Linked DNA regions of Elephas maximus indicus. Each later gene encodes a partner of the first gene's protein in a complex. Links are inferred from orthologs where the notes say so. Each region holds a gene or a part of one and is shown on either strand. Other genes may lie near its edges. The genes, in order: TCTN1, TMEM107, TMEM67 and AHI1.

Region 1 (7,173 bases):
GCTTGTGTGTTGTTGGGATGCTGGAAGCTATGCCACCAGTATTTCAATTACCAGCAGGGTCAACCATGGGGGACAGGTTTCAGTGGAGCTTCCAGATTAAGACAGACTAGTGATATTTTTAGCGATATAGGGCTGGAAGATAAGCCCTCAGGTTAGAAGGCACTCAAACACAACTGCGGAAGAGCTGCCTCCTCAAAGCAGAGTCAACCTTAATGACATGGATGGAGTAAAACTTTCGGGATCTTCATTTGCTGAGGTGGGACGGCTCAAAATGAGAAGAAACAGCTGCAAACATCCATTAATAATCGGAACATGAAATGTATGAAGTATGAATCTAGGAAAACTGGAAGTCGTAAAAAATGAAATGGAATGCATAAAGATTGATATTTAGGCATTAGTGAGCTAAAATGAACTGTTATTGGCCTTCCTGAATCTGCCAATCATGTTGTAGTCTACTACGCCAGGAGTGACAGATTGAACAGGATTGGCGTTACATTCATCGTCAAAAAGCATTTCAAGATCTACCCTGAAGGACAACACTGTCAGTGATAAGATAATATCCATACACCTACAAGGACGACCATTTAATATGACTATTATCCAAATTCATGCACCAATTACTAAGGCCAAAGATTTTTTTACCAACTTCTGCAGTCTGAAATTGATCAAACATGCAATCAAGATGCATTGATAATTACTGGTGATTGGAATGAGAAGGCTGGAAACAAAGAGGAAGGACAAGTAGTTGGAAAATATAGCCTTGGTGACAGATGATGCTGGAATTGTATGAAAGAATTTTGCAAGACGAACGACTTCTTCACTGCAAATATCTTTTTTCAGCAACATAAATAGGGACTATACATGTGGACATTGCCAGACGGGATAAGCAGGAATCAAATCGACTACATTTGTGGAAAAATGTCAGAAAAAGGCCAGGGGCTGACTGTGGAACTGACTATCAATTGTTCATATGCAAGTTCAAGCTGAAGCTGAAGAAAATCAAAACAAGTCCACAAGAGCCAAAATATGACCTTGAGTATATCCCACCTGAATTTAGAAACCATCTCAAGGACAGATTTCACACATTGAACATTAACGACCAAACGAATTGTGGGATGACATCAAGGATATCATACATGAAGAAAGCACAAGGTCATTAAAAAGACAGGAAAGAAAGAAAAGACCAAAATAGATGTCAGAAGAGACTCTGAAACTTGCTCTTGAACGTAAAGCAGCTAAAGCAAGTGGAAGAAAGATGAAGTAAAAGAGCCGAACAGAAGATTTCAAAGGGCAGCTCTAGAAGACCAAGTATTATAATGAAACGTGCAAAGACCTGGAATTAGAACACCAAAAGGAAGAACATGCTCAGTATTTCTCAGGCTGAAAGAACTGAAGAAAAAATTTTAAGCCCCAAGTTGCAATATTGAAGGATTCTATGGGCAAAATATTGAACAGTGCAGGAAGCATCAAAAGAAGATGGAAGGAATACACAGAGTCACTGTACCAAAAAGAATTGGTTGACATTAAACCATTTCAGGAGGTAGCATACGATCAAGAACTGATGGTATTGAAGGAAGAAGTCCAAGCTGCACTAAAGGCATTGGCGAAAAACAAGCCTCCAGGAATTGATGGCATACCAATTGAGATGTTTCAACAAACGGATGCAGCACTGGAAGTGCTCACTCACCTATGCCAAGAAATTTGGAAGACAGCTACCTGGCCAACTGACTGGAAGAGATCCATATCTGTGCTCATTCCAAAGAAAACTAATTCAACAGGATCTAGAAATTATTGAACAATATCATTAATATCACACACAAGTAAAATTTTGCTGAAGATAATTTAAAAATGGTTGCAACAGTACATCAACAGAGAACTGCCAGAAAGTCAAGAAGAGGATGTGGAACAAGAATATAATTACTGATGTCAGATGGATCTTGGCTGAAAGCAGAGAATACCAGAAAGTTGTTTACCTGTGTTTTATTGACTATGCAAAGGCATTTGACTATGTAGATCACAACAAATTATGCATAACATTTGGAAGAATGGAAATTCTAGAACACTTAATTGTGCTCATGAGGAATGTGCACACAGACCAAGAGGCAGTTGTTCAAACTACACGGTTTAAAAACATGAAAGGTATGCGTCAGGGTAGTCTTCTTTCACCATACTTATTCAATCTGTATGCTGAGCAATTAATCTGAGAATCTGGACTATATGAAGAAGACTCATTAACAACCTGCAATATGCAGGTGACACAACCTTGCCTGCAGACAGCGAAGAGGACTTGAAGCACTTACTGATGAAGATCAAAGACCACAGCCTTCAGTATGAATTATACCTCAACATAAAGAAAACAAAAAATCATCATAACTGGACCAATAAGCAACATCATAATAAATGGAGAAAAGACTGAAGTTGTCAAGGATTTCATTTTACTTGGATCCACAAAGTGCTCATGGAAGAAGCAGTCAAGAAATCAAACGAAGTATTGCATTGGGCAAATCTGCTGCAAAAGACCTCTTTAAAGTGTTAAAAAGCAAAGATGTCACCTTGAGAACTAAGGTGCACCTGACTCAAGCCATGATATTTTCAATCGCCTCATATGCAAGCAAAAGCTGGATAATGAATAACGAAGACCAAAGAAGAATTGGTGCCTCTGAATTACAGTGTTGGTGAAGAGTACTGAATGTACTATGGAATGCAGAAGAATGAACAAATCCATCCTGGAAGAAGTACAGTCAGAATGCTCCTTAGAAGCAAGGATGGCAAGACTTTGTCTCATGTACTTTGGACATGGTATCAGAAGGGACCAGTTCCTGGAGAAGGACATGGTGCTTGGTAGAGGGTCAGTGAAAGAGAGGAAGACCCTCAACGAGCTGGACTGACACAGTGGCTACAACAATTGGCTCAAGCATAGCAATGACTGTGAGGACGACGCAGGACCAGGCAGTGTTTGCTTCTCTTGTACATAGTGTAGCTATGAGTTGGAACCGACTCGACAGCATCTAACAACAACAATCTTTATGGGAGCAGATCACCAGAGCTTCCTCCTGCGGAGCCGCTGGCTGGGTTTGAACCATCAATCTTTCAGTTAGCAGCTGAGTACTTAACCGTAGCACCCTGGCCACCAGGGTTTCTATTATACTTATTAGCAGGAAAAAAATGATACCTAATTTTAAACAGATTAGAAGCCATGACTGTAGCAATAATAATAATAACAACAACCACCAGCTCACCTCAGAAGACACCAAAGAATATGAGGAGTGGTTAACACTGCCTTGTGCCTTGCAAAAAAAGCCTTAACCCCCCCCACCCCCCACCCCCAGGTACTCCTGTGTCTTAGCTTTTTCAGGCTCCTCATATGCAACATTTTCCAAGCACAAAATTCCAAAGCTGAAATGTCTTTAGTCCTTCTAAGGCTGGCACAGACTCTAAGGAATTGAGAATGCCAATAACCCTAGAGAAACAGATGGACATTTTATATCACAAACATTTATGAATAACCCAGACACTGCAGTGTTGGAAAAATAGGGAACAGATGTTAACTTCTCTTTGTGTCCTTCCATCCAAATGAGGTAACCTGCTAAGGCCAGGGCGGAAGGAAGGGAGAAAGGATCCTCTGGGATGAAAGATGAAAAAAGCCTGGCTCAAGAGGGTATCACCTGACAGAAACAGGTCACTTGTGAAATGAAAGATCCAGTTTTCCTAAGATTTGCAAAGTGTATCTGAGTTGATGTAACCCTTATTTCGACTTGGTAAGATGTCATAAAACGACTTTTTGGTTATGTACTGACTGAGATTGGACAAGAAGGTATGATGAGATTATTTCCCAAATTGTGTCCTAGTTGGAATCATAGGATGTTAGACTTGAAGAGGAACTCACAGGTCATATAATCATGAAGATAAAAAAAAAAAGAAGTTAAAGCCAAAGAGCACTTCATCAAAGTCTAATGCAACAACAGCCTAAAATTTCAAAACAGAAAACAGGACAAAGTGATTCACAGATGTTAAGCAATAAAAAAGAGAGTGAAATCCTGGAAATGAGGAGAAGGTTTAAAAAAGAAAAAGTCCTCGATTTAGCAATTATGAGATGGAGGTTTGGAAAAAAAAATTTTTTTTTTGAGGGAAAGTTTCATCAGTTATTAAAAGTGGTTCAGAATTTCAGTCAGATGCCAAAGCAATGCTATGAAGAAAAAGTTGGAACTGTGTGCCACCCATGAGTGATCCAGCTATATTTTTCTACGCTTTCTCCGGAATGCCACAGGAAGGTGCTAAAGATGTTGCTTTGATGATTTAGTTTTGCTATATATATATATTTTTTATTTAATAAACTAGGTATATGTGCTGTTTTGGCATCTTTCTGAATTGGTAAATAAATGTTTCTTGAATAAATACCATGATACGTTTAAGTATTTCGACATCTGCTTCTTAAATGTGAGATTATTTGTCCACGGTATAACTAACCTCCGTGGGTTCGGGTCCCCTCTGTAAATAAACCAGTTTAGGATGAAGGGACTTCCCTCTAAGTCTTGTGGTCTCTTTATCACTTTGTAGGATTACAGTTGATTTGCTTTGTGTTTTAAGACTGAAAATCATTCTATTTAATTTTTGTCAGTTAAAAAAGTCATTAAGTGTTCATTTGTCCCCCTTACCACAGAGCGGTGGACAGAAGTTACTTGGAGACCTCTCGGGATGCGTCTACAACAAAAAAGGGAAAGGCTGGGTCGAGCGCGTTCTGGATGGAGAGAATTCAAGGACGGTGGTGCGACGCCCATACTTCTTCAAAGGACTCGTATTTCGTAGCATCAGGACAAAAAAAAAAGAAAGCGGTTGCCAAAGTTCCGTCCCCTCACCGGTGGCGTCAGGGCACTTGTGAAAAATCCTGATTCCAGGACCCTGCGCGACGCCAACCCAATCAAGGTCTCCTGGTTGGAACCCGGAAATCTGCATAGAAGAGCCGCAGTCGAGCTGGAGAACGACAGCTGGGATTTCCCCGCCCCTCGTTTCCGCCATGTCGCGCGGCTTCGCGCCCTCCTTCCCGTGATGCCCCGCGTTCGGCCACCGCGGTTGCCAGGCAACGCGCTGTCCACCGCAAGGACCGCGCGGGGGTTCTGCAGGGCGATGGGGCCGCGGGGCTTCCAGCCGCTCCTGCTCCTGCTCCTGCTCCTGCTCCTGGGCTGCTGGAGCCCGGTGAGGGCCCAGACGGGGACCACCCCGGCGGTGACAACGGAGGGCCTCAGCTCCACCGAGGCAGCCCTGGCGACTCTCGGAGCCTCCACGCCGTCTGGGCCCCCTGCCACTCCCAGGGCGCGGGGCCCCTCTTCCGGTCCCCGGCCCACCCCGGTCACGGACGGTGGGTACCAAGTGCCAACTCCTGGGCTCCACAGTGATTCAGCCAGGAGAGGGTAATGATAATGATGATAGCTAAAGTTTACTGCACACTCAGTGTGTGCCAGACATTGCCGAGTGTTTCACAGGCGTTATGTAATTTCTGCCAACAACCCTGAGAGGTAGATGATAGGGTCCCCGTTATACAAATGAGGAAACCGAGGCTCGGAGAGCGTAATGGTGCAAAATCAAATATTTTAAAGCACTAGCAGAGCTCTTGGGCAATATTAATGTTAAAGGTAATAAATACTGAATAAAGCGTTGCAGCCTTCCAGCGGCAGATGAAATTTAATCAGAAGTTTCTAGACAGTTGTGGAAATTAAATGGATGGAATGTGTTCGGAGTTTTTAGTTGTATTAAAGAGACTCCAAAGGTCTAGTTTTCTAAATGTCAAGGCCCTCGTCTATCGACTTGAATTCTGAAAACTCTGGATTCCTCTTTAGTTAAGTTTGCCATGGGAAGATATGGGGTGAGGGATTTTGCCCACTTTTTAAGATTAATATGTAGAGCTGATTAACATTTCTCAGAAAGTGTCCCTGGAATCGGACAGTTACATGTTTAGTGAGTATTTTATAATCTGATTTGCCATGGATGACTTAGGGGGTGTCTATGACCCCCTGAGACTGAGTGCAAAATCTTGTGAACACGCATTTTTCTGGGATGAGGGTCCCTAGCAATCAGTAGATCTTCAAAGGAGTTTAGACCTCTAAGTAGATAAATAGCTGGATAGGTTATCTGACTGTGAAGGTTGAAAGAGGTGTGCAGTAGGTTTTATCCCCACTTAAGAAAACAATACTTTTTCTTAAATTGAGTAAGTCTCAGTACTAACTAGAAAAGTCATTATTGGCTGGCATTCTGAACTCTAGGACTTAACTTTAATAACTGAACTGTTATTTCTCCAAGGGGCCTCCCTTATAAATCATGAGTGGTTTGTCTGAAAAAGTATGGTGAAGTATAGTTGTTTAATAGATATGAACAGAATTCTGTTTCATATTTAAACTGTTGATTGGTGAATTAGTAAGGAAGTGAAATCAGTGATAAATTGTGACAGAATACAGCAAAGTATTCAACACCCAAAATTCTCCAAGGTTTTTGGAGCTGGCTTGTCTTTTATCTACGTTAGTCCTCCACCTGTTAATGTGCTTTCTCTCCCAAATGAAGCTATTCTTGAGCCGTCATTATTAGGGCTTGGGTTCAGGGCTCTTTTTGCCATTATAGGGGATTAATTTATACCGATCGTCATCTTTTTAAAGAATACTTTAGGCCTGTGACAGTAATGATAAATGACAGTCATGTATTAACAGCTTGCTATGCGGTGGAGCCCTGGCAGCACAATGGTTAAGTGCTATGGTTGCTAACCAAAAGGTCAGCAGTTCAAATCCACCAGCCACTCCTTGGAAACCCTATGGGGCAGCTCTACTCTGTCCTATAGGGTGGCTATGAGTTGACATCAACTCGACAACAATGGGTTTGGTTTTTGGTTTTGCTATGTGGCAAGCACTGTGGTAAGCATTTCAGCTGTGATATATCTCACTTCACCCTCGTAACAACCCTATGACGTTATCACTATTTTTCAGATAGGCGAAGTACTTGCTTAATTTAAGGCCACATGGCTGGTAAGTGGTGGAGCAGAAAGCTGGCTCCAGTAGAGAACTGGACAGCCATTTGCAAAACTGGTTGCAGCCAGTGTTGGTGGAAGAGAAGAGTGGTAACTGTTCATCTTGAATCTGAGCTCTGCTCATTAGTACCCTACTCTACGATGCAGGCATGTAGACATTAAGA
Region 2 (7,071 bases), on another chromosome or scaffold:
CCAGGCTCAGCGGTCCCTCCGACCCCGACTCTGGCTGGAGTCCTGCAGACAACCAAGAGGGCCTGAGCTGGTCACCACAGGCCAGCTGGGATGGACCTGCCCAGAAACGGATGGAAGGACAGATACCAGGCAGAGTGTGACGGAGCCATTCCAGAGCCTGAAGAAGTGAGAGATTAGCTCCTCCATCAGTGCACCTTCTCCCCGGCTGCAAATTACAATCTCCTGCGGAGCGTTAAAAAATAGCCACGCACAAGCCCCAGGCTTGGAGACTCTGATTTAAATGGTCCAGGGTAGATATTTTTGTATAATTTACATACAATGAAATGCAGTTTGATGAATTTTGACAAAATCATACACCTGCGCAACCCACAACTCTTCAAGATACAGGATGGTTTCATCGCCCCAGAAAGTTCTCTCCTATCCCTTCCCAATCCACCCCCGCTTCCCAGAGGCGATCATTGTTCTAATTTCTATCACCATGAATGTCAGTATTTTTTTTAAATTGTACTTTAAATGAAAGTTCACAGAACAAACTAGCTTCTCATTAAAAGTTAGTACACGTATTGTTTTATGACATTGGTTAACAACACCAGGACACGTCAACATTCTCCGTTCTCGACCTTGGGTTCCCTATTACCAGCTTTCCTGTCCCCTCCTGCCTTCTAGATCTTGCCCCTGGGCTGGTGTGCCCCTTTTAGTCTCGTTTTGAAACTTCAGTATTTTTTTAAAGCTCCACTAGGGAGACGGAGGAGTCCCTGGGTGGTGCAAACGGTTAACATACTCGGCTGATAACCAAAAGGTTGGAGGTTCAACTCTACTTTTTGAAAAATCAGCCGTTGAAAACCCTACAGAGCACAGTTCTCCTCTGAGACACTTGGGGTCACCACCAGTCAGAAGACAGCAACTGGGTAGCTAGACAGAGCTGGGACTTCTGCAGAGGAACAGCCGGAACTGGAAGAAATTCCGACTGTGTCTTGAAGGATGAGAGGTGTTCAACAGGCTTACATGTGAGAGAAGGTCATACAGTATCTCGCTCCTTGCCCTCCAAGCCAAATTTTTGCACATTGTGCACAGTGGCCCTACCGAAAGTTTTAAGGGACCACAGAAATGTCAAAGCCCACAGATGTTCCTCTCGCCTGGCCTTACTGGACTCAGGACAACATCTCCTCTAAGAATCTTCTTCTCCCTTGGTTGTCAGGACACTTGTCTGCTGGCCGTCCCTTAACCCGCTCCTCCCCCAGCCCCACCTCACTCATCCCTCTTTTTCTGTCCTCACCTTAAATCCTCATTTTCCAGTTCTGTCTTCTTTCCTCAAGCCATGCATGCTCCCTGGCTTCAGCTATCTCTGTGTGCTGAGGGCTCCTGGATCCCACTCCCTCTCCATACCACCCCACTTCTAGATTCAGACACCTCTACTTGACCCTGTCATCCTTTCCCAGTCCTTCTGCACGCTCAGTGAGTGGCAAAGCTGAAGCTGGGACTCAACCTTGACTCTTTCCTTTCCCGCAATTCCCATTTCCAATAAGCCACCAAGCCCTGCCAATTTCCTTAATAATTCTCCTGTCAGTCCTCATTCTCCTTTCCCATTGACAAGCCCCAGCTTCTTTTGACCCATTATTGTAATAGACTCCTCTCTGTTCTCCTTGCCTCCAGAATAGTCAAGAGAATCATCTTTGTAAAATTCAAACATGATTCCCTCACTCCTTAGCTTAAAATCAGTGCCACATCACCTTTTGGATGAAGGTTGGCCCACAAGGTCAAGTAATATAGTGGTTAAGTATGTGGGCTCTGGAACCAGGTTGCTAGGATTTATATACGAGCTTTGCTACTTACTAGCTGTGTAATTTGGGCTACTTATGGAACCTCCCTGTGCCTCAGGGCCTACATCTGTAAATCGGTAATTGTTATGGATTGAATTGTATCCCCCCAAAATGTGTGTCAACTTGGCTAGGCCATGATTCCCAGTATTGTGTGACTGTCCACCATTTTGTGATCCGATGTGAATTTCCTATGTGTTGTAAATCCTACCTCTATGATGTTAATAAGGCAGGATTAGAGGCAGTTATGTTAATGAGGCAGGACTCAATCTACAAGATTAGGTTGTGTCTTGAGTCAATGTCTTTTGAGATATAAAAGAGGGAAGCAAGGATGGGGACAGGTGGGGAGGGCGACCTCATACCACCAAGAAAGCAGAGCTGAATCCTTTGGACCTGAGGTTCCTGTGCTGAGAAGCTCCTAGGCCAGGGAAAGGCTGATGACAAGGACCTTCTCCCAGAACTAACAGAAAGAGACTTCTAGAGCTGGCACTAGCCACATGGGGCTATCCCAATAAATTTTTTAAAAAAATTTCAGTTTCTCAGTCCCACTATCCACATTTCAAGTGTTCAATAGCCAGATGAAGCTAGCTGGCTACCATATTAGACATAGACAATATGGAATATTTCCATCATCAGAGAAAGTTCTATTGGATAGTGCTGGTCCAGAGGTTGAAGCCTGGTGTACTGTATTGCCATCATGGTTATTTTTTTCATTTTTAAATTGAAGACCAACATTTAGAATTGAAATAAGAAGCTGGATTTCTGGTCTCTCAGAAAAAACAAACAAGCAAGGAATCTGGCAACATTGGACTCAGTTTCCCTTAAGACAACTGATTGAAGCTGAGTAGCTGCTGATCTACTACCCCTCCTCCCACAAGCCCCTACACACATTTCGGAATGGCAGTGGCTCTCCTGGGCTTTGACCTCAAGGGAACTTCATTTATTTGTTGTATTCGTTTTGTTCTAGTAGGAGAGACATAATAAATGAGTATAGTAATAAATCAAATGATTACAAATTATAGTCAGGACTGATGAGAGGTAAGAGTCTGGTGGCTAAAAGCTCAGATTTTTAAGTCAGACTGGGGTTTGCTTAACAGCACTGGGTATGGTTTGGTTTTGGTGCTGTCATCAGTTACAGGCTCTGTGACCTCAGGCAGGTAAATACACTGCTCTGTGCCTCGGTTTTCTATCTGCCTCATAGATGTTGTTGTCAAGTGCTGTTGAGTCAGCTCTGACTCATAGTGATCCTATCTACAACAGAATGAGATGTCGTTCAGTCCTGTGCCATCCTCACAGTATTAGATATGTTTAAGCCCATTGTGTCAATCCATGTCCCTGAAGATCTTCCTCTTTTTTGCTGACCCTCCACTTTACCAAGTATGATGTTCTTTTCCAGGGATTGGTCACGCCTGATAACATGCCCAAAGTAAGCAAGACAAAGTCTCGCCATCCTTGCTTCTAAGGAGCATTCTGGCTGTACTTCTTCCAAGACAGATTTGTTTGTCCTTCCGTCAGTCCATGGTATATTCAATGAGCAGTTCTACTCTGTCCTATATGGTTGCTATGCGTTGGAATCATTGGGGTTGGTTTTTGGCTATAGTGTGTACATATGTATTTTTTTTTAACGGAAGGATAAACCAAAAACTAATAAAATGGTTTACCTGAGATGGAGGGTGGAGGGTACACGAATGGAGGCCTGACTTCTCTCAATGTACTTTTTTTTTTGGTAGATTTCACTATGCAACCACATAAATGTTTAACATAATTACAGAACAAAATTAAAATCAAAATTTACAAAGCAATCCATATAAACTTAGAATTATTTTGTCGATATCTACAAAATAGCTTGTTGTTGGAAGGTGTGTTGGTTTAAACTTTGTATTTTAAAATGATTTATAGAAAAACTGCAAAAGTACTACAAGGAATTCTCATGTGTTTTATTTTTTTCACCCAGACATTGTTTTATCTTTGTCTATCTATCTGTACATACACGCCAGTGTCCCAAACCCGGCGTGGCAGTGGCAGCGGTCTCCAGTGGTGGGTCATCCGGCGCACCGTAGCCGGGGCTGGGGGCTAGGTCGTTCCCTGTGTGAGCATCTGGGGACGAGGGGCTGTCCCCGGGCTAGAGCAGGCCGGGTTTCTGCTCGCCCGCCCGGCCGGGTAGATTCGGCGGTGCCAGGCCACGCCACACGGCACAGTCTCAGGGGCAGACGGCTCTGCTGCCATCGAGGAGCTGCCAGTCAACTCAGTTCCGACTCGCGACCACCTGCAGCGGATCTCGGACCCACGCTGCCCTGGAAGCCCCTGGCGGCTCGAGAATTTACTGCTCTCGCGAGATTTCTAGAGAACGTGGCCCAGCGCCTATTTACGCAGTTGCCAAGGCAACTGGGCGGTGCCAGCGCGGGAGGGGAGGAGGAATACGAGTTTCTCCGCGCTGGTGGGCGCGGGCGGGCGGTGCGGGGACCTCAGGACCCACTGAGAGCTTCCAGCTTCAGAGACCACGGCCTTTGCTCTGGCCAGTGCCCCTGCCCCCGGGGGCCATGGGCCGGGTCTCCGGATTCGTGCCCTCTCGCTTCCTGACGCTCCTGGCACATCTGGTTATCGTCATCACTTTATTCTGGTCCCGGGTAAGACCTACGGCCGCCCGCTTGTCACCCCTAGCCCCACCTAGGATAGTCCCAGTCCTACCCCGCCCCTTCCCTAGGACTTTCTGACATCGGCCCTTTCGGGGGTTCCCCCATCCCCCGCCGCCTCACGCCGGACCCGCAGCCGGCCCCTTTTTCACACTTTTGTTCCTCTCTGCCCGGCTCCCCAGGACAGCAACATCCAGGCCTGCCTGCCTCTCACATTCACCCCCGAGGAGTACGAGAAGCAGGATGTTCAGTGAGCTCTTTGTGCGGGATGGTCAGAATGAAGCGGTGGTCGGAGTGGAGGGGTCTTAGAAAAAAGCCTCAAGGGCTGAGCCAGCACCCTTCCTCTTTACAGGCTGGTGGCAGCTCTCTCTGTCACCCTGGGCCTCTTTGCAGTGGAGTTGGCCGGTTTCTTCTCAGGAGTTTCCATGTTCAACAGCACCCAGAGCCTCATCTGTATCCTTTCCACCTGCACACCTTTCCCACACGGCCCATTTCCAGCCGCCTGACTAGGCTTTTCTGGCGCAATAGTGTTTGTCCTAAGGCACAGACAAAATCTTTCCAGTTGGGAGATCTTCTTAGACAGACAGTATGAGGGATTTAATACAGTCTTCATTAATGTGTTAAGTCCCTGCTATACACCAGACACTGGAGATCCAGAAAGGGGGGTAAAACATCTCTACCTTGAAGGTAATGCAATACAACCAGCACTACACTGTAGGATTGTGGAAGGGTATAAAGCAATATGGGGACTCAGAGAAGACAAAGGAAGTGAGGGACATGGATCAGGAGAGCGGCTTGACACCTGAATTGTGGGCCAGGAGTCCCAGGGAGGTGGAGGGGGATTCCAGCTAACAGCATCAGGCTGCTGTGAGCATGCCTGTGTGGCCTGGGGGTAGGTGGGGAACCTGCTCTTACCTCACCTGGAGGGTTCAGGCTGCCCCCTAATGATTGGGTGGGAGTAGCCTGGGATCCCAGGTGTGCAGCCTCACCTCTGGCTTCTACTCAGAAGGCTGTTCTACAACTCAGAAGGCTTCAGGCTCTGATCTTGCAGTGTGGTGAGGCAGCTAGAGATTAACCTGAGCACAGGTGCCAGCCCCACCACGGGCTTTTTCTGGCCCATCACTACCTGCCATCCCAAGGCTTTCCTTGACTCTAGGGTGTGCCCAAGCCATCGGGGCACACTGTAGTGCATCCGTGGCCCTATCCTTCTTCATATTTGAGCGTTGGGAGTGCACCACGTACTGGTACATTTTTGTCTTCTGCAGGTAAGGTATTTGGGAATGGGAGAGGAAGGTTTACCTCAAATCTGAAGGTGTCCTCCATGTGTGAGATGCCAGATCCACTCAACATCCTGAAATATTCCCCACTGCATGCTGGCGGTGGGGTCTCTGGTTTGGGGATTTGGGTATTTTTATTAAGGGTCCTTGAATCCACCACCTACCTCCCACAGCGCCCTCCCAGCGGTCACTGAAATGGCATTATTCGTCACCGTCTTTGGACTGAAAAAGAAACCTTTGTGATCACCTTAATGACGGGAATGGAGGGGCAAAGGCTGGAGCAACAGGAGCAGGAAGGCATAGACTTCCGTCCTCGCCCTGCACCTGCATCTAGAGGAGGATGTCAGCGTTGGCATGATTATCTTCCGCGTCTAGGATTATTCACGTCTTATGTAGTATTTTGTAATAAAATATATTTTTAATAAGATCAAGACTTGTGTTAAAAATTTCAAACAACATCACCCCTGAGGAATGTACTCCCTTAAAAAAAATCAACCAGATGAGACTATCATTTACCCAAAAGTAAAGGTGAGAATACTGACACATTGTGAACATTGTAACCAATATCACGGAACAATTTGTATAAAAATTGTCAAATGGGGACCTAATTTGCTGTGTAAACTTTCACCTAAAACATAATAAAATATATTTTTAAAAGAGTTATAAAAATTTCAAGGGAGATTTGGGGTGGCCAAGCTACTGAAGAAACGGAAGACTGTTTTCCAGCCTTGCAGACTGTATGATAGTAAAAAAAACCCGGTGCCGTCGAGTCGATTCCTATAGCGACCCTGTAGGACAGAGTGTAACTGCCCCATAGAGTTTCCAAGGAGCGCCTGGCAGTAAGTACCTTTTATTTTGGTTATTACGGTAGACATCTGGCGGAAGGGAGTGGGTGGGGATATGTAAATAAGGGGATGCCACTGTTCCGGCTCAGCAAGTGATTACGCGGAGCATTCTGGGAAGAGTTGATTTATTCTTTTTTCGGAAGCGAATGAAAAAAAGTATATTTAAAAATCCACAAAGAAAGATTGCTACAGAAACGGAGGAGCCTTAAATAACGTTAGGTAGCTTCAGCGAATGAGTTTTACGCTCACCCTAGGTGTAAGCGCAATTTTTTTCATTGAGTGCGGAGTGGGTAAGGTTTTCAGGTTATCGTCAGTAAGGTTAATCCTTACCTGTTTCTCCTTTTGGAGAGCAGATTTAAAATGATGATTTGGAGCTCGCATGATCCGTGATTAACGTTTCCGCGTAATCAGGACCAGCAACATCCTGATTGCTCCTATCTGATTTTACTGGCGATCACTTCTTTCAGTTTTTGTTATGAAAAAAAGTTTTAGTGTTTTA
Region 3 (7,227 bases), on another chromosome or scaffold:
GGTACACTTCAACAGAAAATTATTTCCCTAAGTTCACAAAGAATCAGTAAGTTGCTAGCAATGTTTTCCAGTGGTAGTCTCAAAATAGAACCTTCAAAAGCTTTGAAGTTTTAACAGTTACCTGACTTTGTTAAAAATGAAGTCATTAACAAGGAAAGCCTTTATGATATTGATAGGAGGTGGATTTCAATCTAGGCAATTAAACAATAAATACATATTTATAGGCTAAGTAAAATATCACAGAATGATTTGATTAATGTACATATAATTTGTGGAATAAGTGTTTCCCTTTGTGTCATTGGTTACTCAAAGACTGGATGTCAGAAAAAAGTTCAAAAAAAAATTTTTTTGCATATATCAGAATGAAAATCAGATGTTGATATCAAATAGTGACAATAAAAAACAAAAAACAAATTCATTGCCATCAAATCAATTCAAATTCTGCTACACCACCAGGGTTTCCAATGGTGTCAATACACACACACACGCACACACACACACACACACCTGTTGCCATCGAGTCCATTCCACCTCATCCAAGAAAAAACCAAACCCATTGCGGTTGAGTCTATTCCAACTCATAGCGACCCTATAACACAGAGTAGGACTGCCCCATAGAGTTTCTAAGGAGTGCCTGGTGGATTTGAACTGCTGACCTTTTGGTTAGCAGCCATAGCACTTAACCACCATGCCACCGGGGTTTCCTCTGACTCATAGCAACCCTAAATAAAAAAAAAAATATCTTTATCATCATTGAATGCTGCTGTTACTCTTTATTATAATAATCAGTTCAAGTGTGTTTCAAGTATGGCTCTGCATTGTTAAATAATATATCAACTCTCCGTATTTCTAGCTCAAAATGGTATTTTTTTCAACTGCTAAATTACATGCTGGTTGTTTCTAACTACGGATATTTAACATAAGTATTTTGATCACTTCAAAATCAATTTCTTACCTAAAAAAAATTTTTTTTGTTTTTCTTTTCTGCATGCAGGTGAATTTCAGATTCAGCTCGTAGGCCTTAGAAGTAATACTCTTAAAAGTTGGTCAAATTTAAACTTTTTATTGGAAAACAAATATGTCTAAATATTATTTAAATGCACATTAATGAGTGCCCTTTAGGAAGGTTGTGCTGGAGTTGAGCCATGTTACTCTAGGGCAAGAACAGTTTCTGGTATTTTCTCCAGCATCATCAGCTATATGATTCTAGGCATGCCCTGCTCATCAGTTTTTTGTAGGCATCTATCCTTCCCCAAGAAACCCTGGTGACACAGTGGTTAACAGCTATGGCTGCTAACCAAAAGGTCAGCAGTTCAAATCTATCAGGCACTTCCTGGAAACTCTATGGGGCAGTTCTACTCTGTGCTTTAGGGTCGCCATGAATAGGAACCAACTCAATGACAACAGATTTTTTTTTTTTTTAATTTAATCCTTCCCCATCAAAAACCTAAAAGGACAAGCTCACTCTTCCCTCCAACTCCAAATTACCAATTTTTAAAAATTCCACCATGTTTTATTTTATAAAAGTCACTGTGTTTCTTACTGCATGTCGAAAATTATATTACCATAACAGTGATAAGAACAATTTTTTGGTTAAATACTTCCTATAAAGTGAAATTTATCTATGAATGGTACTTCTATAATATTCAAAATACACAGTAAAAAAAAAAAAAAAAGAAAAAAATCCCTAACAATACAGCCCCAACTTATGCTTAAACAATTTTAGCTAACATTCTTTTCTGCCAGTTTACAGAGCCACTTTACAGAGATGAACTCATAGTATCTGCAGTTATCGCAAACTTAACTGTGTTTGTCTATTTCAAGTGCTTCTGTTACAGATAAACTCTCCATGTAGTTATTAGGGCAGTTTGTTAGGTACAGTGTTCAAAGCTCTTACACAATCATAGTGCCGCTGTCTGTGGTATATAATGGCAGTACCACCTTGTTAGCTAAAGATTAATGGTTTATTCCACATGTGGAATATGCCAAAATTTTTTACATTTATTCCACAAAGAAGACACTTAATACTGTGAAAACATAGTGGGTTTTGCAGTTGGCCAAATGGAGATAAATCCTAGTTTCACTAATTCCTAACACAGTGGAACTACTAACATTTTTTGATCCTGTCTATTTTTTTTTTTTTTTTTTAATAAACAGGGGTAGTTCTCCCTCAAAGGGTTGTTATGAACAGTTAAGATTAATGGTGCCAAGCGACTAGCACAGTGCACAGTGTGGAAGACAAAGAAGGTCAGTAATAAATGGGAACTTTTTATTATTATTAAATTATATAGTAGACAATGAGCAAATATTGCTTTAATCCCTGCCACAGAGCATATGAGCAATATGCACTTCATCAGGGAAGCCTAGATTTAAAACTCACCCATAGGAAGCTTTTGCAGATTAATCCCAACTATTCTAACTATTCTAACCATGCCTTTTCTGAGTCTCTGTGGTCACATGGGTTTGTTGCATGGTCACATGTTTTTTTTAATTCTAACCTCAAACACATTTTTGGAGTTCCTCTTAGAAACAGTTTTCAAAACATACACTTGCTGTGCCAGAGATTAGAACTGGGTGAATGCTGGTCTTTTGGGGAAGGCCACATGTGGTAATGGTAATGGAGCTCTGGCGGCACAATGGTTAAGTGCTGGCCTGCTACCTTTAAGGTCAGCGGTTCAAACCCACCAGCGGCTCTGTGGAGAAAAGACCCGGAAATCTGCTCCCATAAAGATTTCAGCCTAGGAAAACGCATGGAGCAGTTCTACCTATCCCATCCTGTCACTATGTGTCAGAATCAACACAACAGCATGCAACAACAATGGTGGTTAGTAAAGTTATTTAACTTTCTTAAATGCATTATCCATATCTTAATAGTGACAAACCATTTTTATTACAAAATTTGTTTTTTTTGAAAAAGTCAAAAATCATTTGAAGTTACCACTGATGAAAAGGTGGCTAAAAATAGGCTAGGATGATTTTATTGAAGAGACAAAATACAGCAGTCGCAAAAACAGAAATGCAGTTTAAATATAAAGAAATGAGGGACCTCATACCACCAAGAAACAAGAGTCAGAAGAATAACGAGTCCTTTGGACTCAGGGTTTCTGTACTGACAAGCTCCTGGACCAAGGGAAGATTAACGACAAGGACCTTCCTCCAGAGCCAACAAAGAGAAAGCCTTCTCCTGGGTCTGACACCCTGAATTCGGACTTGTAGCCTACTAAACTGTGAGAAAATAAATTTCTCTTTGTTAAAGCCAAAAAAATAAAATAAAATAAAGAAATGAGTTTTTCTTTTGTGTCCCGTACACTGGCTCTGAAGGTAATTCCAATATGTTGCAGGTAACTGCCTCAAGGGTGACTACTTTGAAAGAACATTCATATATGTGCAAATCTGATAAAAATTTAGATTCCTACTTTATTCACAGCGGTATAAAGAGGGTCTCATTCCATATACACAATTTCCAATGCTCAAAGCAAGGGAAGTAAAAAAACAAACTTCTGGCAGGTTTTTTTTTTTTTTCCCTTGTTTTGTTTTTTTCGTGCTTCAGGCATAGCAATTTTCCAGCATTGCATATTTTAAATGTTATTGATACTTTTTTGATCTTATCCATAGTAATAAATGCATAGTTGGAATGTCTTCTTCGACATGAAAATTACTCAGTCTGGATAAGTTCTGGAAAACCCCGGTGGCGTAGTGGTTAAGAGCTAAGGCTGCTAACCAAAATGTCAACAATTCAAATCCACCAGACACTCCTTGGAAACCCTGTGGGACAGTTCTACCCTGCCCTATAGGTTCGCTATGAGTCGGAATCGACTAGACGGCCACGGGTTGGTTTGGGTTGGTTAAATTCGGGTGTAAATTAATATTTAACTTAACGGTTTTATGAAACAATGTTTGCCATCCAGTGTGCTCCTACTCATGACGACCTTATGTATAAGACACAATAAGATAATTTCTTTCCTGTGCTATTCTATTTCTTGATCTCATAAACTGATTTCACGTTTCACTATTAAATCAGTTTGAACCACACTGTTTGAAATAGCCCCTGCTTTTTTTTCTAACCTACCGTGCCCCAGACACGCCAGCTTCCCGCGGGTTTGGTAACCAGGCAGCAGAGGCCTACTCTTCCGGGACCGGGGCCTGGGTGGGATGTGCTGGGGAAGCTGTCCAATAAGCTGGGCGGAGTCGCCGCGGAGGCTGATGGGGCCCCAGGGCCGGAGCGGCCGCTGGCGTCGGCACCATGGCGACGGGTGGCGGTGGTGCTGGGGTGGCAATGGCGGCTTGGCCCACTTTGTCCGCTGCGGCTTTGACGGCGCTCCTCCTGTTGGCCCTCCCTCGAGTCTTACAAGCCCAGACCTTCTCTTTACCTTTCCGGCAGCCAGAATCGTGCAGCCATAACCAGTACTTCGATATCTCCGCCCTCTCCTGCGTTCCGTGTGGAGCCAACCAGAGGCAGGACGCCGGAGGTGAGACGGTCTGGGTTGTGCCCTGGCAAAAGTAACGCTCCAGCCTTGGTGACACCCCCAGACCCCGGCAGCGCTGAAACGCCTTTTCAGCTGCTATAGGGATGTTTCAGAAAAAGTAACTGCCGACGCCTGAGGGAACAGTTTCTTCGGAGGATTGCGTTTAGCACACTAATGAGGTTGGAGAACCCCGAGTCCGCTATCTCCTGAGCGGTTCCCAGTAATTCATTTCTCGGCTCCAGTCTCCCACTCCTCACCCGGGGGTCGTTAGGGCAACACCTGGATAGCGGCTCGCAGAGAAGGAAAGGCATTGTAGAGAAATAATCTGAGATGCGGAGGTTTGGGAAGGGGATGCAGATTAGCATTTGTAAACTTTTAAAGCGCTTTATCTTGCTTTTCAAATCCCAGTAATTTAGAAATGGAAGGGACTGTAATCATGATCAGATCCATTCTTCTCATTTTACAGATAAAGAAATTGAAACCCAGAGGAGGTTATAACGTCTTTTGTGTTACCTAAATTGGGAAATGGAAGAACTCTTGTCTCTTTGCTCTTAGTGTGGAACTGTGTATGTCCACTATACAGTGTGACCCTAATATTGTAAATTTCCTTAGTACTTAGCCTTTTCTGTTGTTGAATATTTCTTATTGCTCTTAAAGTCGTTTTAAGTTAAACTAAAAGAAATAAATTCCCCTGAAATGTCCATCATTTGGTCCGAGTTCTTACAGAAACTGCTCTGAATAAGTCTTACATCTTCTAAATTCATGATCAAATCTTCAAGTTGAATACATCCTGGTTTTGCTCATCACACAAGATGGGTCAGGCCACTCAGGCAAGGAAAAATGAATGAAAAAGCATTTCAGAGACTAGTGTTAAGGGTTTTTTGCTGGGTATAGTCTTAAGGTATTAGGTTTGTAATCATAAATCCAGATATTGTATGCATTGTAGTACATAGATTAATTACTATGGGTGCTGTTTCCAGTTACCATCTACTTAGAGAATGCTGCACTTAACCTAACCAGAAAGTTGAATATTGACTATCTTAAAATGTTTACTATGTGCCCAAGCAGAGTGAAACAGTGTCTGAGTTGAATCAAGGCAACTTTCGTAATAATGAGGTTTGTTTTGACAAAGTACATTTGATTTCATTGAATATATGTGTATGCTTGAGTGACGGAAATGTAAATTTTCCCAGATCAGTTAATCAGTAGTTTGATTATTAGTTTAATAGTTCAATAGCATAATAGTTTAGTTATGCTTGCACAGTGGTTAAGAGCTCGGCTGCGAACCGAAAGGTCAGCAGATCAAATCCACCAGCCGCTTCTGGGAAACCTCGTGGGACAGTTCTTCTCTGTCCTGTAGGGTGTCTATGAGTCGAAACTGACTCTACGGGAATGGATTTTTGCACTTAAGATGGTAGCCAACACAATACCTCCTGTGTGCCAGACACACTCATGTTAACTCTATGAGGTAGGTACTGTTATTATCCCCATTTTACTGAAGAAGCTGAGGCACTGAGAAGTTGAGTAACTTGCTAAGTAGCAGAAGCAAAATTGGAACCTAAGGAGTGTGTTTCTGGATTTGCACCCTGGCTGTATTATTTCAGAGTCTTGCTCTTAACCACTATACTGCTTCTCAAGATTTTAAGAATTATTAAAAGTTCTCTGATCTTGGAGTTTTATTTTTATTTACCAAAGGCAAAATTGGCTCTTTTTCTTTAGGAACTTCATGTGTGTGTTTACCAGGATTTCAGATGATCTCTAATAATGGAGGATCTGTCGTTATTTGTAAAAAGTGCCCAGAAAACATGGTATGGAGTATTTATTTTTAAATCATTCTACTGTAAAAAAAAAAAAAAAAAAGTACATAAAATGTCTTTATTTTTTAAACTAAAATTAATATTTAATATTTTCCCACAAACTTTGAAAGTATTATGGTTACTTTGTTTTAACTAGAGTAAATTTTGGTACATCAGTGAAATTTTATGCAAATTTGGGAAAAAACTGGAATGTATTTACTTTTTTACTGTGCTTCAGGTCAAAGTTTACAGCTCAAGTTAATTTCTAATACAAAAATTTATATTGTTATGTGACACTAGTTGCAATCCCTACAATGTGACAGCACGGTCTCCATTTCCACCCTGGGTTTCTTGTGTCCTTTCAACCAGTTCCTGGCCCTTCCTGCCTTCTCATCCTGCATCTGGACAGGAACCACCCATTTGGTCTCGTGTATATGCTTGAACTAAAAAGCACATTCTTCACAAATATTATTTTATATTTCATAGTTCAATCTAATTTGTCTAAAGAGTAGGCTTAAGGAATGGTTTTAGTTCTGGGTTAGCAGAACATCCAGCAGCCATGGCTTTGGGGGTTCCTCCAGTCTTAGACCATTAAGTCTGGTCTTTTTGTGTCAATTTGAGTTGTGCTCCACACTTTTCTACCTGTCAGGGCAGTCATTAATGGTAGCTTGCCACCGTCTAGTTCTTCTGGTCTCAGGCTAACGGAGTCTCTGGTTTCTGTGGCCTTTTTGTCTCTTGGGCTAATATTTTCCTTGTGTCTTTGGTATTCTTCATTCTCCTTTGTTCCAGGTGGGTTGGGTCCAATTGATGCAGCTTAGATGGCTGCTCACTAGCTTTTAAGACCCCAGGCGCTACTCACCAAAGTGGGATGCAGAACATTTTCTTAATAAACGTTGTTAGGCCATCTAGATGTCCCCCAAAACCATGATTCCCAGACCCCAGCCTCTGCTACTCTGTCCTTTGAA
Region 4 (7,217 bases), on another chromosome or scaffold:
TTCCATAAAGATTTATCACCTTGATAACCCTATGGGGCAGTTCTACTCTGTTCTACAGGATCGCTATGAGTTAGAATTGACAGGTTTGGTTTTAGAAGTGCAAATGATTAAGCACTAGGGTATTTATTAAAAGGCTGGAGGTTGAAGTTCACCCACAGGCACTTCCGAAGAAAGGGCCAGAGATTTATTTCCACTATTGAAAGGTCACAGCCATTGAAAACCCTATAAGCAGTTCTACTCTGACACACAAGGGGTTACCATGAGTCGGAATCCACTCAAGGACAACTGGCTTTTTTTTTTTTTTTTTTAAATAATTTTTATTGTGCTTTAAGTGAAAGTTTACAAATCAAGTCAGTCTGTCACATATAAACATATACACCTTACTCCATACTCCCATTTACTCTCCCCCTAATGAGTCAGCCCGCTCCCTCCTTCCAGTCTCTCCTTTTGTGACCGTTTTGCCAGTTTCTAACCCTCTCTACCCTCCCATCTCCCCTCCAGACAGGAGATGCCAACACAGCCTCAAGGGTCCACCTGATACAAGTAGCTCACTCTTCATCAGCTTCTCTCTCCAACCCATTGCCCAGTCCCTTCCATGTCTGATGAGTTGTCTTCGGGAATGGTTCCTGTCCTGGGCCAACAGAAGGTTTGGGGACCATGACTGCCGGGATTCTTCTAGTCTCAGTCAGACCATTAAGTCTGGTCTTTTTATGAGAATTTGGGGTCTGCATCCCACTGTTCTCCTCCCTCAGGGGTTCTCTGTTGTGCTCCCTGTCAGGGCAGTCATCGGTTGTGGCCGGGCACCATCTAGTTCTTCTGGTCTCAGGATGATGTAAGTCTCTGGTTCATGTGGCCCTTTCTGTCTCTTGGGCTCATAGTTATCGTGTGACCTTGGTGTTCTTCATTCTCCTTTGATCCAGGTGGGTTGAGACCAATTGATGCATCTTAGATGGCTGCTTGTTAGCATTTAAGACTCCGGACACCACACTTCAAAGTGGGATGCAGAATGTTTTCTTAATAGAATTTATTTTGCCAATTGACTTAGAAGTCCTCTTAAGCCATAGTTCCCAAACCCCTGCCCTTGCTCCGCTGACCTTCGAAGCATTCAGTTTATTCCGGAAACTTCTTTGCTTTTGGTCCAGTCCAGTTGAGCAACCAGCTTTTTAAAAAATATTATGTAATAATATAGCAGATACATAACTGACCTAATCATTTTTCAATGTTACTGTGTACTACAGAAAAAAACATTACAGAATTAGTGACTACTATTTAATGGACAGCGACATTATCTGACTTAAGATCAGAAGTTAAGATCAGATTAAAAAAGAGATCCCTGAACCTCATAACCCAAACCAAATCAAACCCACTACTGTTGAGTCAATTCCCACTTACAGCGAAGTGGGAACTGACTCAACAGTAGTGGGTTTGAAACCCTGGTGGCGTAGTGGTTAAGTGCTACAGCTGCTAACCAAAGGTTCGGCAGTTCGAATCCACCAGGTGCTCCTAGGAAACTCTATGGGGCAGTTCTACTGTGTCCTATAGGGTCGCTATGAGTCGAAATCGACTCGATGGCACTGGGTTTGGGTGGTTTTGGTATACATGCCATTATTTTAAAACTTCTTCCTCAGATACCTTTTTCACATAAAATGATTAGAGATACTAAGTAAGAAACATAACTGGATTGTTTCAGCTCATTTTAATTTTCCCTGATCTCCTGATTTTCAACTGTCAATCAGTAAGTGACTAAAGATCAAGGGGAAAAAAAGCAGAGAGGCTTGGATGATTCACTCCTTAATCAACTTTAATAGCAAGGAACAAACAAAATTCCCATATAAATAATTCAATTAATAAATCATCAACAAACCCTTTACCATGGAGTTGATTCCAACTCATAGAGACCCCATAGGGCAGTACAAGTGCCCCACAGGGTTTTCTTGGCCATAATCTTCATGGAAACCCTGGTGGTATAGTGGTTAAGTGCTATGGCTGCTAACCAAAGGGTCGGCAGTTCGAATCCACCAGGAGCCCATTGGAAACTCTATGGGGCAGTTCTACTCTGTCCTGTAGGGTCACTATGAGTCAGAATCGACTTGACAGCACTGGGTTCCTCTGGGTAATCTTTATGGAAGCAGCCTGCCACATTTTTCTCCTGCAAATCAACAAGTCTTCATAAACAATATTCTGAATGTGGTTTTAAAAAACTCTTTTGGTATTTGAATTTTTCAAATATTCTTTTAAAAATTTCCCAGGGTCCTCATAACAAGCAATCTTTTTTTCCTGAAAACCTAAGCAATAACAACAACCATTAATGCAACAGGTGAAATAACTGTTGCCATGTCTTTCTCAAAAAAAGTAAAAGCATATACGCCAGTCTGTAGATGATTTCACAGCAATGCTGAAATAAGGCCCAACCATTTGGTAGGGATTCCTAAATTATCAACTCTTTTTCTATTTTTATGTATACTGAAATGACCCTATTACACCTTTTATTTTTTAAACAAATATAACATTCACCACCGTTTTTCAGATGTATTTAAGAAGGCATTTCACAGGCTCAAGATTCAGCACCAGGTTGACACTATAAAAGGAAATAAACATACGCATCTGATTTTAAAGCGTTTAAGCTTGAACCGGGAGCAGTAAAAGCAAGAAATGCGTTCCCTCTTAGGACACCACGCTAACAAGTCACGAAGAGAGTCTTCCACGGAAGGGAGCGGAAAAGTGCGTAGAGGTGTTTCTCAAAAATCACATCCCTCCCCTCCCGGACGCCTGGCAGTGGCGCAGTGCGGCCCCAGCCCGGCCAAGCCGGCACTCCGCCCCCGCGCTCAGACCACATCAGTCCACGCAGTCGAGAGGGCCCGGGCAGGACGAGTCCCCAGCCCTGGGCTCCCACCACCAGCCCGCCAGCCACGTACTCACAAAGCGGAGGGCGCAGAGCTGCTGACCGCCTGTCCCGCCAGAGCCGAGCCCGGGCGGTGGGAAGCGGCTCCCGGCGCCAGGCGAGGTGGGCCGGGAGCTGGGCTGCTACGCAATGGCCCAGCCGCCAGCGACCCAGGATCTGCAAGCGAGCCAGATGCCGCAGTGTGGGCAGTGCACCCTCCTCCCGCCGCTGACGTCAGCGCTAGCCTACGCCGCCGTTCCCATGACAACCGATGCAGCCAGTGCTCTCTATCTGGACCGCAGTCTCTCTTCCGCGCCCCGTCCACGGCCCCGCCCCCGCACCGCCTACGCAGCGGCCCGCGAGGTGCCGCAGTACGCCGCCTGCGGAGGCAACGCGCGCGCGTCCGCTGGCCTGCGGCTGGCGGGCTGACGGGCACGCGCTCCGGGGGGTGCGCGGGGCTCCTCTAAGCTGGGAGCAGGATGAGAAACGGGTATACGCGGTGCTCGTCAGAGCCTGAGCGCGTTTCCACCCTCGCCCCGGAACAGGGGCTTTGCGCCTCAGAACTGCAACAAACGCTGGGAGAAACAGAAGGGGGAAAAGTGAGGCGGGGAGGCTATCGTGGATGCCGCCAAGGAAAAGAAACGTGAATGAAGCAAGAAGCAGGCGCCTCATCTCCCACGCGTTCGCGCCCACAAAAAAAAAAAAATGCCTAAAACGTGGAGAATAGTTGTACTACAGACAAAATCTTAGAGAAAAAATTAATCACTACTCGTCTAGCGGTGAGCTCTCACTGTTTTTAAAACAAAACAAAAATTAAAGCGTCATTTTTTATCTCACGTAATAACCCCGCCCACTTACTTGTGCCGCAGGCGCCATCTTTACCTCTGAGTCAGCAAGGGTGGAAAAATACTAGACAAGTTAAAACTCCTCCGTTCTTGAATTAGAGGCCATTTTCTGCAGTGGTAGTCAGACGTGGTAACCTGTTGCTTCGTTTGTACAGTGAAAGCGTTATCCATCTTTCTGTGGAGGCCAGACTACATTGCCATTGGCTTTCCATTCCACTTTACAGTCCATTCTACACAAAATATATCTCATTCGTTTCTTTAAATCCTGTGAAATAAGCAGTGAGAAATATTATCAGCCCAATGTGTCCCAAACTGAAGTCTTCAACTTTCCACCCAAAACCTCCCTGTCTGGATTTCATCTTGGTTTATGGCACCACTATCCAACCAGTGATCTAGGCAGATACTTGGTGCTGCTGTTAGCTGCCATCCAGTGACCCCAGCTCTTGAATGCATACTGATAAAAATAAATGAGCTTTTAAAAATGGGAGATAAAGCTCTTCCTTATACTAGAATGCCACTAATAAATGAAGGAGGAAGTGATGCAGGTACAAAAATCACTGGGCAACCTGTGTTAGTTATCTAGTGTTGCTATAACAGAAATACCACTAGTGGATGGCTTTAACAAAGAGAATTTTATTTTCTCACAGTTTAGTGGGTTAAAAGTCCAAATTCAGGGCATTGGCTCCAGGGGGGAAGGTTTTTTTCTCTCTGTTGGCCCTGGAGGAAGGTCCTTGTCCTCAATCTTCCCATGGTTGAGGAGCTTCTCAGGCGCAGGGATGCAGTGTCCAAAGGACACGCTCTGCACATGGTGCTGCTTTCTTGGTGGGATGAGGTCCCCCTGTCTTTGTGTTTGCTCTATCTTTTTTGTCTCTGTGCTTGCTGTATCTTTTAAGTCTCAAGAGAATGCTTCTAGACACGATCCAATACTGGAGGTTGAGTCTTGCCTCACTAAGACAACTGCTGCCCGTACTCCCTCAATTAACATCATAGAGGCAGGATTTACAACATACAGGAAAATCACACAACACCAGGAATCATGGTCCAGCCCAACTGATAAACACACATTTTTGGGGGGACATAATTCAACCCATGACACAACCATTACAGTAAAAAATGATTAAGGCAAGAATCATCAATGGATGCTAAAACTAGTGGGTGAGAGTTTTAAGAGGAACAAATTATTTGCATAGTCTCACATTATCTCTGCACAAAATACTTATGAATTACAAAGGAAAAAAAATAGAAACTTGAAGAAATCCGGCACTGGTAATCAGAGTTAACAGTAATGGGGTGAATTTACATCTTGTGACACTTGGTAAGAGTCACTTCAAACACATTTCTGTGGTATTTCTGCCAAAAAGGCATAACCTGAGTCTAATCATGAGGAAACATTAGTCAAATTCAAATTGAGAGACAATCACAAACCTGTATTCTTCAAATGTGTCAAGGTCATGAAAGATAAGGAGTGAGTAAAGAACTTTTTCAGATCGAAGGAGACTAAAGAGACGTGACAACTAAATGGAACACATGACTCTGAATTGAATTATTTGGCTGTAAAATACATTATTGGAACAAATGACAAAATTGAAATGAAATCTGTGGATTACGTGATAGTATTTTAACAATATTAATTTCCTAGTTTTAATGACTGTACTCTGGTAATGTAGGAGACAGCTTTGTTTTTATAAAAAACACACTGAAGAATTTAAAGGTAATGAAGCATCATGTCTGCAACTTAATCCAAAATGATTCAGAAATAAATGTATATATAAAGATAACAAATATAAATAATGAATATAGATAAAGAGTCTGGGTGGCATAAGCAGTTTGCAATCGGCTACTAGCCTAAAGGTCAGCGATTCGAACTCAGCCAATGTCTTCACAGAAGAAAGGCCAGGTGAACTGCTTTTGTAAAGTTTGCAATTAAGAAAGAAAACCCTATTGAACAGTTCTACTGCGTACTTATGGTCACCGTGAGTCAGAAGGCTGACTTAATGGAAGCTAACAGCAACAACAATATATCTAGACAGAAAGACTAATAGAGCAAATGTAGTATGCTAACAATTGGGAAATTTGGGCAAAGGAATTTGAACAAAGTTTTTATAGTATTCTTTCAATTTTTCTGTAAGTTTAAAATTATTTTAAAATGAAAAACAAATGACTTAAAAGCACCTGGGATTCTGGCTCCAGTAACTAGATGAAGAATGATTAATCAATTAAGAATGGAAAGTCAGGAAGAAGAGCAAGTTTGGGGGAAAAGATGTTTAGTTTAAGTGAGATATATCCAGTTATCCAGTAACAGTTGGAATATGTTGTTGCTGTTAGGTGCCAACGAGCTGGTTCCAACTCATGGCCACTCCATGTATAACAGAACGAAGCACTGCTCAGTCCTGTACCATCCTCACAATAGTAAGTATGTTTGAGCCTGTTGTTGCAGCTACTATGTCAATCCTCTCATTGAGGGTCTTCCTCTTTTTTGCTGACCCTTTGCTTTACTAAACATGATGTCCTTCTCCAGGGATTCGTCCCTCCTGATAACATGTCAAAAGTATGTGAGATGAAGTCTAAGGAGCATTCTGGGTATACTTCTTCCAAAACAGATTTGTTCGTTCTTCTCGCAGTTCGTGGTATATTTAACATTCCTCACCAACACCATAGTTCAAAGGCATCAATTCTTCTTTGGTCCTCTTATTCATTCTCCAGTTTTCTCATGCATATGAGGTCATTGAAAACACCATGGTTTGGGTCAGAGGCACTTTAGTCCTCAAAGGACATCTTTGCTTTTCAAGATTGAAAAGAGGCCCTTTGCAGCAGATTTGCCCAATGCAATACGTAGTTTTATCTCTTGACTGCTGCTTCCATGGGTATTGATTGTGGATGCAAGTAAAATGAAATCCTTGACAACTTCATTTTGTAGTGTAATTGAATATTCATGATGTTTATTATGATGTTGCTTACTGTTCCAGTTGGGATATAGTAAGCATATTATAATCAGTCCCAATCACACCGAAGAAAGCAGATATACTGCTTTTGTGTTGTAAACCCAGAGTGCAAGACTTAGGTCGCTCGACCATCCTAGGAGAGGCAGGCAATTAAGAAGTGATAATGGAGAATCTGTCACAAACAGTTAAGCGCTAGATTACTAGAAAGGCTGGCAGTTCAAGCCCACCTAGAGGTGCCTCAGAAGACAGGCCTGGCAATCTGCTTCTGAAAAGTCACAGCCTTGAAATCTCTATGAAATAGTTTCTGTACACATGAGGTTGCCATGAGTCAGAATTGACTGGTTTGCAACTAACAGCAACAACAAAGGTATTGAATAATGTTAAGGACTATTTGTTAACTTTGTTAGGTAAAAGTGGTTGTTGTTGGATGCTGTTGAGTCGATTTGGACACATAGCAACACTGTGATGGAGTAGAACCACCTCATAGGGTTTCCGAGGCTATAACCTTTACAGAAGCAGATTAGCAAAAGCTTTCCCCCTCAGAGCTGC

What was found.
Region 2: TCTN1 (region 1) and TMEM107 share a complex: the UniProt entries of both Homo sapiens proteins name them as parts of the tectonic-like complex. The link is inferred for Elephas maximus indicus from reciprocal best matches to the Homo sapiens genes TCTN1 and TMEM107.
Region 3: TCTN1 (region 1) and TMEM67 share a complex: the UniProt entries of both Homo sapiens proteins name them as parts of the tectonic-like complex. The link is inferred for Elephas maximus indicus from reciprocal best matches to the Homo sapiens genes TCTN1 and TMEM67.
Region 4: TCTN1 (region 1) and AHI1 share a complex: the UniProt entries of both Homo sapiens proteins name them as parts of the tectonic-like complex. The link is inferred for Elephas maximus indicus from reciprocal best matches to the Homo sapiens genes TCTN1 and AHI1.

What each region holds. Positions count from the first base shown.
Region 1 is NC_064840.1:9,152,952-9,160,124, forward strand, and holds the start of TCTN1 (tectonic-1), read left to right. Parts: upstream 1-4,163; 5' UTR 4,164-4,271; intron 4,272-4,660; 5' UTR 4,661-5,046; coding exon 5,047-5,356; intron 5,357-7,173. UniProt on the Homo sapiens protein: Component of the tectonic-like complex, a complex localized at the transition zone of primary cilia and acting as a barrier that prevents diffusion of transmembrane proteins between the cilia and plasma membranes.
Region 2 is NC_064837.1:12,589,624-12,596,694, forward strand, and holds TMEM107 (transmembrane protein 107), read left to right. Parts: upstream 1-4,224; 5' UTR 4,225-4,357; coding exon 4,358-4,444; intron 4,445-4,632; coding exon 4,633-4,700; intron 4,701-4,802; coding exon 4,803-4,903; intron 4,904-5,618; coding exon 5,619-5,715; intron 5,716-5,900; coding exon 5,901-5,970; 3' UTR 5,971-6,546; downstream 6,547-7,071. UniProt on the Homo sapiens protein: Plays a role in cilia formation and embryonic patterning. Requires for normal Sonic hedgehog (Shh) signaling in the neural tube and acts in combination with GLI2 and GLI3 to pattern ventral and intermediate neuronal cell types.
Region 3 is NC_064833.1:48,229,756-48,236,982, reverse strand, and holds the start of TMEM67 (meckelin), read left to right. Parts: upstream 1-4,210; 5' UTR 4,211-4,243; coding exon 4,244-4,469; intron 4,470-6,185; coding exon 6,186-6,274; intron 6,275-7,227. UniProt on the Homo sapiens protein: Required for ciliary structure and function. Part of the tectonic-like complex which is required for tissue-specific ciliogenesis and may regulate ciliary membrane composition.
Region 4 is NC_064819.1:205,069,986-205,077,202, forward strand, and holds the start of AHI1 (jouberin), read right to left. Parts: upstream 3,008-7,217; 5' UTR 2,920-3,007; exon of another isoform or gene 2,916-2,919; intron 1-2,915. UniProt on the Homo sapiens protein: Involved in vesicle trafficking and required for ciliogenesis, formation of primary non-motile cilium, and recruitment of RAB8A to the basal body of primary cilium.